Stegostoma tigrinum: one gene and its partner. The protein of the gene in region 2 purifies or fractionates together with the protein of the main gene of each other region. This does not show direct contact. Links are inferred from orthologs where the notes say so. Each region holds a gene or a part of one and is shown on either strand. Other genes may lie near its edges.

Evidence for each region. The genes of interacting proteins can lie anywhere in the genome.
Region 1: the proteins of nuclear factor NF-kappa-B p100 subunit-like (region 2) and nfkbiab purify together in Homo sapiens (affinity purification with mass spectrometry; 6 studies listed by BioGRID and IntAct, counting the BioPlex papers as one, with this or other methods). This does not show direct contact. The link is inferred for Stegostoma tigrinum from reciprocal best matches to the Homo sapiens genes NFKB2 and NFKBIA.

The regions. Positions count from the first base shown.
Region 1 is NC_081363.1:55,992,041-56,000,109, forward strand, and holds the start of nfkbiab (nuclear factor of kappa light polypeptide gene enhancer in B-cells inhibitor, alpha b), read right to left. Parts: upstream 3,001-8,069; 5' UTR 2,823-3,000; coding exon 2,563-2,822; intron 1,970-2,562; coding exon 1,861-1,969; intron 1,532-1,860; coding exon 1,321-1,531; intron 1,049-1,320; coding exon 960-1,048; intron 838-959; coding exon 589-837; intron 386-588; coding exon 332-385; 3' UTR 1-331. UniProt on the Homo sapiens protein: Inhibits the activity of dimeric NF-kappa-B/REL complexes by trapping REL (RELA/p65 and NFKB1/p50) dimers in the cytoplasm by masking their nuclear localization signals.
Region 2 is NC_081390.1:1,059,568-1,067,039, forward strand, and holds the start of nuclear factor NF-kappa-B p100 subunit-like, read right to left. Parts: upstream 3,081-7,472; 5' UTR 2,728-3,080; coding exon 2,696-2,727; intron 1-2,695. UniProt on the Homo sapiens protein: NF-kappa-B is a pleiotropic transcription factor present in almost all cell types and is the endpoint of a series of signal transduction events that are initiated by a vast array of stimuli related to many biological processes such as inflammation, immunity, differentiation, cell growth, tumorigenesis and apoptosis.

The DNA.
Region 1 (8,069 bases), on a different chromosome or scaffold from region 2:
CAAATATGCACAAGAACTTAAATGTTGAAAAATCTTTTCAACCAGTTATAATAATTGAAAACAGCACATACAACGGTATCACTTGCACAATAGTATATAATTTACATCTAAGATTTGTAGCACTGCATTCTCCACTTCTGAAAAGATTTTTATTTATATTACAAACTATTTAGAATATCAGACCGTGCCACCCAACTGTGTGACTTAGAAATCTTAGTGTATGTCACTGAAGCTTTTCATCAAACCAAATGGTTGGGCAACCACACTTTGATATGCATATTTAGTTCTTTTCAGATGACTTGAAATACAGCAATGCACAAAGAAAGCATCTTCAACACCTGAGCGGGCGTCCTCCAATTGCACAGTCATCGTAAGAGAAAGGTATCTGGGGAAATAATGAATGACACATTAGCAACAATATCAGTGACAAACATCTTTACACTGATACCTCAGATTATAGAAATAATTTATCAAGATGATGGTTTTTATTCTAAAAGACATGTTTGTGTAGAGGTGAACAACCAATTACTGTAAATCTAATCTTTAAGCATTTCAGTGGCTATAATAGTCTATTTCCAGCACACTCACCTCATGGTCAGGAGTTTCAGATTCCCATATCTTTTCTTCATCCCACATCATACATAGAGATGGATCTGTCACATGGATAAGTTCTGTCTGTATCCTAGAATTCTCTCTTCCCAAGGTCAGATGATACGGTGTACAACCATTGTAAGTGAGCACATTGGGGTCTGCTCCACACTGCAGCAAAAGTGACACCATTTCAGCATCCTGCTCCTCCACTGCAAGATGGAGAGCTGTCCGACCACTTGATGGCTCCTGTGCAGAAAACAAACCTTACAGTTACTACATACCATGAAAGTGAATGCCAGAAAGTAACTGTTTAATTTGCCATCAATTGAGAGATTATCATTATTTAGGAAATTAAAACTTTATTATACCTGAGCGTTAATATCAGCTCCAATCTGAATTAGATAGACCACCATCTTGTGAAGTCTGTTTTTGACTGCCAGCTGCAAACATGTAAGGCCTAAAATGGGAAAATGAAGAAGTCTCAGATATGTGCAACAATAAATATTCATTGTCCAATATATTAATTAGTGATTATTAGTGATTGACATTACAGCTTTAATTTGCATATTTATCTAAAAAAAGTAGCTAGTCACAAGAAAGCAGCTACAGCAATTGCTTTTAAAGAAATTAGACATTATATTTAATAATAATTTAATGTTTTGAAAATGCATAATTTATTTTAAAGAATGGAATTCATATTTGAGCTGCACATATAAAAGGCAAATGTACCATTGTAATTCTTGTTGTCCAAAAGTTCTCGGGTATGGTGTCTTGTGAGGAAATCGCTGATGGTTTTCACGCACAAGAACATATTCATCTCACAAGCGATGTGTAAAGCTGAGTTCCCGTTAATGTCCTTCAATCCCAGATCTCCTCCAGCCCACAACAAGGCACGTAGCATATCAGGCTGCTGTGTGATCACTGCCAGATGCAAGGGTGTCTGAACAAAACAGAACAAAAGAATTACAGTGGGAATACTGCAGGGTAAACCATGGAAACACACAATACGAAGGAAAACTGCAGTGTTTTTTAACGCCCCACGCCAGTATCCACAGCATTTATTAATATGGTGGGGACTTTCCAATGCAAACAGGAACCACCTATTTAGCTGCTTCAGGCAGAACAATACATTCTCATAAGATTATAATTAATCTAGCACAGTCCCCAATTTATTAAATACAAAATAGTAATGTCAGCGTTTTGCATAAAACTTATTAAATATTAATATATATTCCCAAATATTTGTATTAATCAGTTGAAAATATTTACCTGTTTCAGGTTATTCTGACGATGAAGGTACTGATCGCCAGACTGGGTATTGGCGAGGATTTGGGATACGATTTCTTTGGCTGTATGGATGATCGCCAAATGCAGAAATCTAAAAGGAGGAAAATGTCATGTTAAAACTTGCTACATCGGGGAAACTCTGCACAGCAGCTCAGCACTAAAGACTGGAACTCTCCAGGATTGCGCAAGGTCGGGTTTTTTGGGTACTTTCCACAGTTAAATATTTATCAGACAACCACTAGCTGGCCGCCTGCCAGGGACTTTCCAGCGTCAAACAGGAACTGTACCGCCCAGCGCAGTTACTGCTAGAACATGATGTTCTCAAAAAGCCTTTCAACAGATTCCATGCCCTCAATAGAGATTAGTTTATTTAACACCCTGTTCAGCTTTTTTTAAAAAAAAACTTTAAATCCACTTTCATCTGAAAAATAATTACAATGAAACTTTTCTATTAAATATTATATTTGCATACTGGATACTGTCTTGACATTTAACTGGTAGGGTTCTGCAAACCTTCAGCGTTTGGTAAATTGCTGTTTTAGAGACGTATTAATTCTTCCAACTTTACTTTCTCCAATCAGGGGGTTCTGGGGCAACATGCATTGCTCAGTTTCTGTATACCCAAACACCCGCCCCCCACCAAGACCCTTACTCTACTTTTAAAAAGGCCTCCAAGTCACTTACGTATCTCCATCCTCCGAGATGAAATCTTTCCAACACTGGGTTGGCTCCGGTTTGTCGTCCAGGCTCAGCTCCTGGATCTCCCGTAGAACCTCCTCGTCCTTCTCATTCATTGAGCCGATGCCGCTGTCACACCGCTCCTCCCAAAGCGGAGCCTGTTTGCCGACTCCGGGGTGCAACGAGCCGCCCGAGTAATCTAGTTTCCCATTGCCGCGATTATCCAAGATGTCAGCGCGGTTATTAAATATGGTAGGATCGGCCATGACTTTTGCACAGTAAGAGTATCCCAGTGAAGTAGACAAGCAAACAAAAACTCAACCCAAACAGGCAACGGATAAAAGACGCTGCCAAATTCACCACACGCAAATAACTCCTCTGCCACGTCTCAGGACTGCAGACGTTACTCTGCGCGACAACATTTATAAACTCCAGTTCGGGGCTTTTTCTGGGCGGAGCTTTCATGTCACCGCCTCCAAGCTCCAGTTGCCTTTTTGGCTGGGAAATTCCAAAGCAGTTAATGTGCTCAATTAGAAAAAGAACGCAGTGTACCGAATGGAACAAGGAGGGAAAATCCCTCAATAGGCCGCAATTCAAAAATACACAGGGCATCCCAGAAGGAAGAACTCAGCTTCGCATTTAATTACATTTAAGGGTTTGTTCTCATAACTATTAGCGTGAAGTTTGTCTACGATGCACATTATTCTGCACTATCTTCTTTTTTATTGGTTTACGTTTGCTGAAGCCCTTCCGGTTTCTTTTCTGTTGAACGTTGAAGTAGGTGGAAATTTCGGAAGCTGTGTGAAAATATTAAAGAAAGTCCCATTCGTTGCTGTGTGTACCGTGGCATGGGAACATCCCGGCCAAAAAGAAAATGGCAGGGGTGTGTGTGGTATTTGGCACTCAAGGTTATGCATTCTGTTAATCATCCCCAAACCAGTACCCTGGAAAGTTTACATGGGAGGGGGGAATTTAAGCGAGGGTGGTTTTGAAACAAGATGACCTTTGATTTTCTAATTAATGAGTTTTGGGGTGAGGAGCAGGGGGAGTACATTGTTTGCACCAAGCCAATTCATTACTGTCTGGCAATTGCACTGCTCATCGTTTGCAAATTGCTAAATACGTACAACATTCAGACGGTGGATTAAAATAACTTTTCATTAATTTTCTCAAAGCAAGTTCCAATATTTTGCTCACTTAAATCTCCTGTGTAATACATCTAAGCAATTTAGACTATCAAAAGAAAACTTAGATTGCAATAATTTGATTCCTCACAATTTGTTCTTTAGGTAAATTTTATTTAATGTTGCCAACTAATTTTAGCGAATGCATTAAAACAGAAGCATGCAGATGGTTAAAGAGACAAAGTACCTTGTCATCAGCTTTTATTTTCTTATTGCCACAGCAAGGGGTATTACTATATCAAAATACAGTTGAAGACCATGACGAACTCTTGTTTGTGTAGTAATATAAAATTTACAATCAATTTGAAATGCATCTCCCAAGAAATAAAAACTTCCCCATCATAAAATTTGCACAGTCCGTATTAAAAGAACAAGCAAAGGGAAATACAAAACATAGTTCTTCATCAATTAATATCAGACTAATGAAATGTTTGTTTTCGGCATTCCGTCCTAAAACTGTGAACATTTTGCTGCCTCCCAAATCATGTCCGTGTTTCCCACAATTCCATATTTGTCACTCTCTCATGAGCCCTGCTGCATCACAAAACCAAATTTTATCAAAATCACAAGTTACATTCTACATAATTATGACAGTGGTACACTAATTTTCCTCAACTTTTTCAACCTGCTTGTGGCCTTTAACATGATCGTTATTGTTCAGTTGGCCAGAAGTGGTCTTGCTCTGTTCTAGTCTTACCAATCCGGTCGTAATCAGCAAACCTGCTGCAGTGGCTTCCCTTCTTGTCAACCGATCTTTATGCTGAAAGTCTTTGTAGGTCTCCCCTCCAATTTCCATTCACATTTCCTTACGAACATGAGCAGAAATTATCACATTGGATTCCATAAATATTCTGACAATACTCACCTCTACTTTCTCCAGGCTTTTATTATCTCTGTATTGTTAGACTGCTTGTTAAATGCCCAATCCTGGATAAACTCAATTTCTCAAATTAAACATTGGAAAGACTGAAGCGATTGATGTCTACTACCGTAGAGTCACAGAACCGAGCAGATCGCCCATGCCAAACAAGTTTCTCAAACTAAACTAGTCCCATTTGCCTGAATTTGGCACATATCCTTCCAAAACTTTCCACATACCTGTCCAAATGTCTTTTAGATGTGGTAACTGTACCTGCATCCACCACTTCCTCTGGCAGTTCATTCCACACACAAACCACCCTCTGTGAAAACTTTGCTCTTTGGGTCCCTTTTAAATCTTTCTCCTCTCACCTTAAAAATGTGCCACCTTAACGAGAACTCCCACCCCTGGAAAAGACCTTTGCTACTCACCTTATAGATGCCCGTCATGATTTTGTAAATCTCACCTCTTAACCTCCTATGCTCCAGTGAAAAAGCTCACATTCTATCCAGCCTATCCTTATAATTCAAATCCCCCAGTCCCAGCACAGTGGTTCAGTAGTTAGCACTGCTGTCACCCGGGTTCGATTCCATATTTGGGTGACTGTCTGTGTGGGTTTCCTCCGGGTGCTGTGGTTTCCTCCCACAGTCCAAAGATGTTCAAGTTAGGTGGATTGGCCGTGCTAAATTGCATAGTGTCCAGGGATGTGTAGCTTCGGTACAGGGGGGTGAGTCTGGGTAGGATGCTCCAAGGGTCAGTGTGGACTTGTTGGGTCGAAGGGCCTGTTTCTACACTATAGGGATTTTATGATCTAATTATTTTCTGAACGCTCTCCAATTTAATAATAGCATTCCTATAACAGAGCGCTGTGGCCTCACCCTTATTCTCTAGCTGTGCAGCTCCATAAGAGCTCTTAATATGGAACACAGAACAGTACTACAAAGGAACAAGCCCTTTGGCCTGCAATGTTGTGCCAAACATGACATCACGTCAAACTAATCCCCTCAGCTCTTGGTCCCTATCCCTCCATCCCTTGCATGTTCATGTGCTTTTCTCAAAGTCCAATAAATGTCCCTGTCGTATCTGCCTCCCTACTCCTAGCAGCATGTTCCAAACACCTACCACTCTTGATGTAAAAAAACTTGACCCTCAATTTTCCTTTGAACTTTTTCCCTTTCACCTTAAATGAATGCTCCCTAGAATAGGACATTTCATCTCCAAACAAAAGATTCTGACTATCAACCCTATGTACGCGTTTCATAATTTTATAGACTTCTATCAAGTCTCCCTTCAGTCTCACTGCTCCAGAGAAAACATCCCTACTTTTCCTATGCTCTCCTTACAGCTTGTACACTCAAATCCAGGCAGCATCCTGGTAAACCTCTTTGGCACCCTCTCCAAAATCTTCACATCCTTCCTGTAATGTGGCTATCAGAACTGAACACAATACTTAAGTGCAGCCTAACCAAAGTCTTATAAAGCTGCAACATGACATCCTGACACTTGTACTAAATGCCCTGACCAATAAAGGCAAGCATGCCATATGCCTTCTTTACTACCCTGTCCACTTGTGTGGTCAAAACAAACCCCACTAGACACTGGCCTCTTGCATAACTCCCATTTCATTCATCCCATCACTGATGCCTCGGTTTTCAGTCAACCAAGCACTAAACTTTGTAACTGCTTGAATGAGTGGTTAATGTAAATTGTTCAAATCAGACTCTATTCCATATATTGTAATTTCCACCTTGTGCAACAAGATAATGCTGAATGCAGCTGAAATCAGGCACACCCATGCCAAAGATTGGGGAATTTTAAATATGGTAAATTGCACCCAAAATTACTGAGTTCATTTTTCTGACATCTCTTCCACTGGTTTGGGATTCAATTCATTTGATTCAAGAGCTCACCTATAAAACTGGCCATGCTCTAATTATAATTGACAGATTCTGACAATTGCATTGATTGGAGAAAGTGCTTCAAATTATGTTCTGTTTCTTCAGTTCACAGACAGGAAACCCAGGAAGATTTTTTCTCATCAAAAATAAACCACGTTGGAAACAGATTAGTGTACATCAGTGAAACTTCGAAAAGGTTCCATATTGTTTTAAGTTATCTTGTGTGGTTTTTAAACCACTCATTAAAAGTACTATTTTTGGTATTATATTGTTGGCTGGTAAAGTTGCTTCACGTTGCTACTTGCAAATCAATTTAACATTAAACATGAGCTGTAACACAAGTGCAGTTTCACATGCATTTTGGATGCAATTTCCCAATAATGTGGAAACTCAGGCATTTACATAAATTCAAGTAGAAATATGATGTACATAACACCCTTGAATATTTTTGAATTGCATGTGTTGCAATGTAGACTCCAGGCAACTGACTAGGACTACTTAGCAATGTGGGACATTCCATATCTGGGGAGGGGAAATGCTGACAAAGGTTTTCTTGCTACAGCTCTGCCTTCTGCTTGCAGCAACAGGAATGAACAGAGGTTAGTCATCAGACAAGACAGCCTTTAGACTGGCTGTTGGAGGCTTTATGAGAGCAATATGAAAACTCATTAACCAAACATTCGATTAGCCCAAATTCCAGAGGGTGCCCTCTGTTGGAACAGTATTTGTCTTTCACATCTTTATTATTCTTCTTGCTGAAACTTTTGTTTGTTACTCTCCTCAAGATGCTACATACTTTCGGAGGTACAAATCCATGGGAACTGGTTTTCCTCTAGCATTTATGCAAGAATTGATATTGACCTTAAATGTCAACTGTAGAGTGATAACCTATAAACCAATACTCATAGAGATGTACAGCGTGGAAACAGACCCTTCGGTCCAACTCATCCTTGCAAACCAGATATCCTAAATTAATCTAGTCCCATTTGCCAGCAATTGGGCCATATCCCTATAAACCCTGGATAATGAAGTGTGGAGCTGGATGAACACAGCAGGCCAAGCAGCATCTCAGGAGCACAAAAGCGGATGTTTCGGGCCTAGACCCTTCATCAGAGAGGGGGATGGGGTGAGGGTTCTGGAATAAATAGAGAGAGAGGGGGAGGCAGACCGAAGATGGAGAGAAAAGAAGATAGGTGGAGAGGAGAGTATAGTTGGGGAGGTAGGCAGGGGATAGGTCAGTCCAGGGAAGACGGACAGGTCAAGGAGGTGGGATGAGGTTAGTAGGTAGGAAATGGAGGTGCGGCTTGGGGTGGGAGGAAGGGATGGGTGAGAGGAAGAACAGGTTAGGGAGGCGGGGATGAGCTCGGCTGGTTTTGGGATGCAGTAGGGGAAGGGGAGATTTTAAAGCTGGTGAAGTCCACATTGATACCATTGGTCTGCAGGGTTCCCAAGTGGAATATGAGTTGCTGTTCCTGCAACCTTCGGGTGGCATCATTGTGGCACTGCAGGAGGCCCATGATGGACATGTCATCTAAAGAATTGGAGGGGGAGTTGAAATGGTTCGCGACTGGG
Region 2 (7,472 bases):
CATGGAGTCTGGGGAGAGTTAGTAATTTGGTTACAAAATTTGCTTGAAGGTTGGAAACAGAGGGTAGTGGAGGAAGGTTGTTTTTTGGACTGGAGGCCTGTAACCAGTGGTGTATTTGCAAGGATTGGTGCTGGATCCACTGCTTTTTGCCATTTACATCAAGCAGTTAACTGTGAATATAAGAGGAATAGTTAGTAAATTTACAGGTGACATCAAAATTGATGGTGTAGTGGACAGTGAAGAAGATTTTCTCGGAGTACAATGGAACCTTGATCAGGTGGACTAATGGACTGGCAGATCGAGTTTAAATTATATAAATGTAAGATGCTGCATTTTGGCATGGCAAACCAGGGCAGGCCTTATATACTTAATGGTAGGGCCCTGAGGAATGTTGCTGAAAAAAGTAACCTTGGAGCATGGGTCCATAGTTCCTTGAAAGTGGAATCACAGGTAGAAAGGGTAGGGAAGAATGCATTTGGTACGCTTGTCTTTATTGGCCAGTGCATTGAGTATGAGTTGGGAGGTCATGATGTAGCTGTTCAGGACATTGGTTAGGCCACTTTTAGAAATTGCAATCAATTCTGGTCTCCCTGCTATAGGAAAGATGTCGTTAAACTTGTAAACCTTTTCTGAGCCCTTTCAAGGACATTGCCGGTATTAGAGGGTTTGAGATTTAGGGAGACACTGAATACGCTGGGGCTATTTTCCCAGGAGCCTTGCAGGCTGAGGGATGACCTTTGAGAGGTTTATAAAATCATGAGGGGCATGGATAATTTGAATAGCCGAGGTTTTTTCCCAGGGTAGGGAAGTCCAAAACTGGAGGGTTTAAGGTGAGAGGGAAAAGATTTAAAAAGGATGTGAGAGGTAACTTTTTTCACACAGAGTGTGGTGCGCATATGGATTGAAATGCCAGAGGAGGTAGTGGAGGCTGGTGCAATTACAACATTTAAAAGGCATCTCGATGGATACATAAATAGGAAGGGCTTTGAGCAATATGGACCAAATGCCGGCAAATGGGACTAGATTAATTTGGGATATCTGGTCGGCATGGATTAAATTGGACTGAGGGTTTGTTTCAATGCTGTACAGCTCTATGACTCTAAATGAAGGTTTAATTGGCTTTAAATTGGAGAAGCTGAGAAGCAGCAATATCAGATTATAGTGAATATGTGTTGAGTAATAAATGCTGGCTAGCCAAGAATGCCCATTTCCCCCGAATGAATTTTAAAAACCCTCTCAAAATCCCCTGAAAAGGCCCCAGCATTTTGGAAAGCTGCAAATATAACAACTTTATTCAAGAACAGAGAGAGACGAAAAACACTATCCCAATAGTTTGACACTTGTCAAAAGGTAAACACTAGAATCCATCATTAAGTTGGGCATTCAGAGACCTTAAATTAAGAAAAAGACTACTTGTGTCACTTCCACATATAAAATTGGCAAATATTCCAGTAAATTCAGATCTAATGCTTGCAGGGGGTGGTATTCCTAGCTATCTATTGCCTTTGTCCTTCCAGATGGAAGTGGTCATAGGTTTGGAAGATTCTGTCTAAGGATCTTTGGTGAAGTAGTCCATTCAGCCTATTGTATCTGCTCTGCCATTCGATTAGATCAAAGCTGAATGATCTCAGCTTTGTGTATATTTCATGACTTGCTTCAACAACTCACTGTGATAAAGAATTCTGCAAATTCCACAAACACTTAGAGAAGAAATTCCTTCTTACCTTTGTCTTAAATAAGTAATTTCTTACTTTGAAATTATGCTGTCTGATCCTAGATTACCCCACAGGTGGAAACAACCTCTCCACACCTACCTTGTTGTTATAACGTGGAGATAGACAGCCAAACCAAATCACACTTTCTACCTCTGTATTTGCAACTCAGTCAATTTAAACTGTCAGAGACTGTCAATAGTTAACCCCAACAGTCCCCGAACAGACTTTTGAATAGTCAAACTCAGACTGTGTGAATAATTAATTCTGGACACCAGTTTTGATTCTTAAACAAAAGACAAGTACTTATTAAATATGCAAGAACTTTAGCAGAAAGAAAATTAAACAACGTTAATCTCATTAATGTCTATACTTTAAACCTGAAACATTTGGTTTCAACCCACATTCATGCAAAAGAACATAGAACATAGAACATTGAACAATACAGCGCAGAACGGGCCCTTCGGCCCTCGATGTCGTGCCGACCTGTGAACTAATCTAAGCCTCTCCCCCTACACTATCCCATCGTTATCCATATGCTTATCCAAGGACTGTTTAAATGCCCCTAATGTGGCTGAGTTAACTACATTGGCAGGCAGGGCATTCCACACCCTTACCACTCTCTGAGTAAAGAACCTGCCTCTGACATCTGTCTTAAATCTATCACCCCTCAATTTGTAGCTATGCCCCCTTGAAAAAGCTGAAGTCATCATCCTCGGAAAAAGACTCTCACTGTCCACCCTATCTAATCCTCTATCATCTTGTATGTCTCTATTAAATCCCCTCTTAGCCTGCTTCTCTCCAATGAGAGCAGACCCAAATCCCTCATCCTTTCTTCATAGGGCCTGGGTCCCAGACCAGGCAACATCCTGGTAAATCTCCTCTGCACCTTTTCCACCTTTTCTTAGATTGTCAAAGGTAGACAAATAAACATAGTTAGGGGATAAATAAAAGGAAATCACAAGACAGGTTAGATTACTTACGTGATTTTCGCAATGTGTTGTTGCATAGGCATAGATGTGGACTCCTTGGTTACTTTTCAGGAACCACCAATCAGGATCACCTTAGTTTACTCAGGTAAAGGTGGCAATATTTGCAGCTTAGCTTTCTACTCTCTGGGCATCTAAAAGCCAGTGTGGGAGATTGGGCAGAGAGCTTTCAAATATTCATGTTGTGATGTCAGCAGCCACACTTATCTCCTCCTGGAAACAGTTCGACCACAACCCAGACTCTTGTTCCACCATGATAGACTGGAACGTCTTTTCCCGAGGCCGCAATTACCATTCAACATCTTCCATCTGCTTGAGTGTGGGGTTGCTTCCAGACTCGCTGAACCAGTTCCCAAATACTGACCTCATCTGTGGAAACCTTTCTAATCAAGAATCAGCCTGCTGTTAACCTCCAGGGCTGGCCTCACAAGCAAACAGAAACTTGTTTGTTCTGTCTTTTCCTTTTACCACAAGTTGTTCCAAAGTCCGCAAGTTATTCTCAGCTCATAACTCCCAGTTCGCAGCTCTGAATCAAAATTGATGAAAGAATAAAAATAAAAATAATGAAAAATCAGCGACGGTTCTGACTTTGTCTACCTAAGAATCTTCAATAAGGTTGTCTCTTATTTTTCTATATTCTAATAAATACAGACCCAACCTACTCAACCTCTCCTCATAAATAAATTGCTCCATCCCCGGGAGCAAATGAGAGAACTTTCCCTTGACCAGTTTCAATGTCGGTATTTATTTCCTTAGCTAAGAGGACCAAAATTGTTCACAGTACTCTAGGTGTGGTCTAACTCATGGCTTCGAAAGTTTCAAGAAGACTTCCCTATTTTATAATTGTTTTATTATTTTTCATTCATGGGATGTGGGTGTTACTGACTAGCCCGGCATTTATTGCCTATCCCCTAAATGCTCAGAGGACAGTTAAGAGTGAATTTCTGTGTGTCTGGAGTAATAGGTATACCAGACCAGGCCAAAGCAGCAGATTTCCTTTCCTACAAGGCATTAATGAGTTGGATTTTTACAACAATCTGCAGTAGTTGCATGGTCATTACTAGACTAGCTGTCTACGGCAGATTTTTATTACAACATCTGCCGTGATGGGATTCAAACCAAGAGCCCCAGAACACTGGCCTAATATTCTGGACTAGTAGCCAAAGGTGTCCCCTAGATGAAATGCTCCATACATGGATCTTGCTGCAACCTTGCTGTATTTAGCACCAAGCTCTAACTGACTGAGCTAACTGGCCAAGACAAATCCTTTCCCTTTAAAATGAATGCCAACATTCTGTTTGCCTTCTCTATTACCTGCCAACCTAGTTTTTTTGAGATTTATGCACAAAGACTCCCAAATTCATTTTTGCTGCAGCATTCTGCCGTCTTTCTCCATTTAAGTAACAGCCAGCTCTACTATCCGCCTCCCCCTCTCTCCCTATTTATTTCAGAACCTCCTTCCTCTCCCCCATTTCTGAAGAAGTGTCTAGGCCCAAAACATCAGCCCTCCTGCTCCTCTGATGCAGCTCGGCCTGCTGTGTTTATCCAGCTCTACACCTTGCTATCTCTTTATCTTCCACTGCATTACATTTAGGGAAAAAGTACACTTTTGGAATTGAAGAAAGACAAGTCACCAGGGCTTGATGGTATGTATCCTAGGATCTTAAAAGAGGTGGCAGCAGAACTAGTGGATCAGTTGGTTATAATTTATGGAAAAAGCCTGGATATGAGAGGTTCCAGTGAATTGGAAAGATATCCAAAAAAGCGAAGTAAGCAGTAAGTAGGAAACTATAAACCAAGCTATTTTGTATGTTTCATTTGTTTCATTATATTAAAGAAATATAACAGATATTTGGGAAGCCAAAATGCATCCATCAGAGTCAGTATGGTTTATGAAGGGTAAATCATACATGACTAGCTTGCTAAGCTTTTCCAAATATGCTTTTAATTGGATGGGGGAGCCCAAAACTACAGGGCACAGTTTAAGGTAAAAGGGAAAAGATTTAAAAAGGACCTGAAGGGTAACTTTCTCATGCAGAGGGTGGTGTTTGTATGGAATGAGCTGCCAGAAGAAGTGGTAGAAGTGGGTACCATTGCAAAATTTAAAAGGCACCTGGATGGGCATATAAGAATCACAGAATCCCTACAGTGTGGAAACAGGGCCCTTTGGCCCAACAAGCCCACACCAATCCTGAGAGCATCTCTCCCAGACCCATTCCCCTATAAGCTGCCTAATCTACACATCCCTGAACACTTTGGTCAATGTAGCATGGCCAATTCACATAACCTGCATATCTTTGGACTGTGGGAGGAAACCGGAGCACCCGGAGGAAAGCCACGCAGGCACAGGAAGAATGTGCACACTCCACACAGACAGTCACTTGAGGCTGGAATCGAACCCTGTGGTGAAGCAGCAGTGTTAACCACCGGGCGACAATGCCGCCCCATTTTTTCTTCTTCTTTTAGGAATAGAAAGCATTTAAAGGGATATGAAACTAGAGCAGATTGGAATGTCTGGCGCAGACCAGTTGGACCGCAGGGTCTGTTTCTGTGCTGTATGAATTTGTGACTCTTTGAATTACCACATTGAACCAAATTCCCGGACATACTGAATCATCCTTTGTCTATTTATCAGGCAAAGGTACCTTCATGTTTGCTCATGTTCCTTAGTGTCCATTGGATTTAAAAATCCCTCAGGCAAGTAATTTTTTAAGCTTAGTTCCTACTACAGAATTCAATACCCCTCATTCAAGCAATTGATAAATAACTTACGAATCAAGCTGTTTTAACTTAATTAAAGATTTTGACTTCAGGACTGAATCTGACCTCTACTCAACGTTACACTTGAAATAGATTCACCTGTTGGATTTGCACTTTGAACCAAATTCACAGCTATATTCATTTAGTCATTTTCTCACTTGGGCGAAGATTGGAAGCATTACAGCATTGCTCAAAATCTTCTCCAGAAACAATTTCAGCGATCTAGGAATCTAAAACCCTTCTTCTTGCACCAACTTTTGAACCATGCATTCATCTGCCCTATTTTCCTATTTCTGTACTCATTTGCACATGGCACTGGCAGGAATGCAGAGATAACAAACTTTGAAGCCCTCCTTCTCAATCTACTCCCTAGCTCCCTGAATTCTTGATGCAAGACCTCATCTTTTATTCTCCCTATGTCACTGGTACCAATGTGTGCCATGGCCTCTTACCGCCCTCCCCCTTTCTGAGTGTCCTGCAGCTGCTCAGTGACATTCCTGACCCAGCTCCAAAGAGGCAATTCATTACCCTGAAGTCACATCTGCAGCTGCATAAACACCTGTCTGTTGCCCAAACGTGAAATCTTCTATCATTAGCTTTGTTCCTTTCTTCCTCAAGCCGCTTGTGGTGCCAGAACCCTGTCTCTGACTACATTCCTTTGAGACATCACCACCCCCCTCAGCTTCCAAAATGGGAAATTGATTTGTCAGCAGGGCCACAGCAGACTCCTGCTCTACCTGCCTTATCCTCTTTCCCAGGTGACCATCCCTTCTTTTCTTCCCTCCAGCCCCTTCTGCTGTAGGGTGACTACCTCTCTAAATGTGTTATCCATGTAAGCCTCAGCTCATGGATTTTCCACAGTGTCTCCAGCCACTGTTCAAACTCTTCTCAAGTTTGCATTTGGGAGCACTTCCTTTAGGCATGGTCATCCTTGATTCTAGTAGGGTCTGTGTTTCCCCATGTGACCAATCACACATTCCTCTTGGCTGCCCTCTCTCAATTTTTCCAAATGAAAAGTGTGGTAGCAGTTATCTGGATGTGTCCCAGTTATGCCTTTCCCTTTGTGGGGAATGAGGAGCATTCATTTTCCAGTCCTACTTGGACTTCCTCCCACACACTTTCTCCAAAATATCGATGATGTCATCAGTGCCATTTCTTTCTCTCATTAAGAATTAACAAAAAAAATCAACTTTACTTCCAATTTCTATCTACCTTCACCAACTCACCTCTGATTCTTCCCTTCCTTGATTGTCAGTCTCTATTTCCAAAGATAGGCTATCAACCAATATTCTTTACAAACCCATTAACTCCTATAACTACCTTGACTACAGGTCTGCACTCATTGCTTTCTGTAAATATTCCACCCTTTGTCCCAGTTTTTTCTATCTCCATTGCATCTATTTCAATAATGCTAACTTCCAAAATGGCACTTCTGATATATCTTTGTTTTTCTTTAACCAAGGAGTCTCCTCTGCCGTCCCTCTGTGGTTGACAGGGCCCTCAACTATCTAACCCATTTCCCACACTTCTTCCTCAACCCTTTCCCTCCCTTTCTGGACCACAGCAGGATTTCCCATGACTTCACTTGCCTCTGCATTCAAAGGATCATCCTCCGCCATTTCCGTCACCTTGAGCAGGATACCATCCCAAACACACTGGCCTTTCCCTTCCATTGTCAGCATTCCAAAGGACTGCTCCATCTATGATTCATTCTTTTGTCGTTTCTAATACCCATTCACCTAAACGTAGCGCCTTCCTATACAATGCCGAAGATGTTACACTTTCCCCCTTTATCTCCTGTCTCCTCGCTGTCCAAGGTGCCAAACATAACTTTGCTTGCATTTCTTTCAATCTAGTTGACTGTTGTCACTGTTCACAATGTGGTCTCTTCTACATTGGTGAGACCTGGGTAACAATCTGGCTAGGAGGGTGAATAGCTGTTAATGGAGGCTGGGTGCACATTTTGCTAACACCTCTACCCTGTCCACAAGCATGGCCCTGGCATTTCATC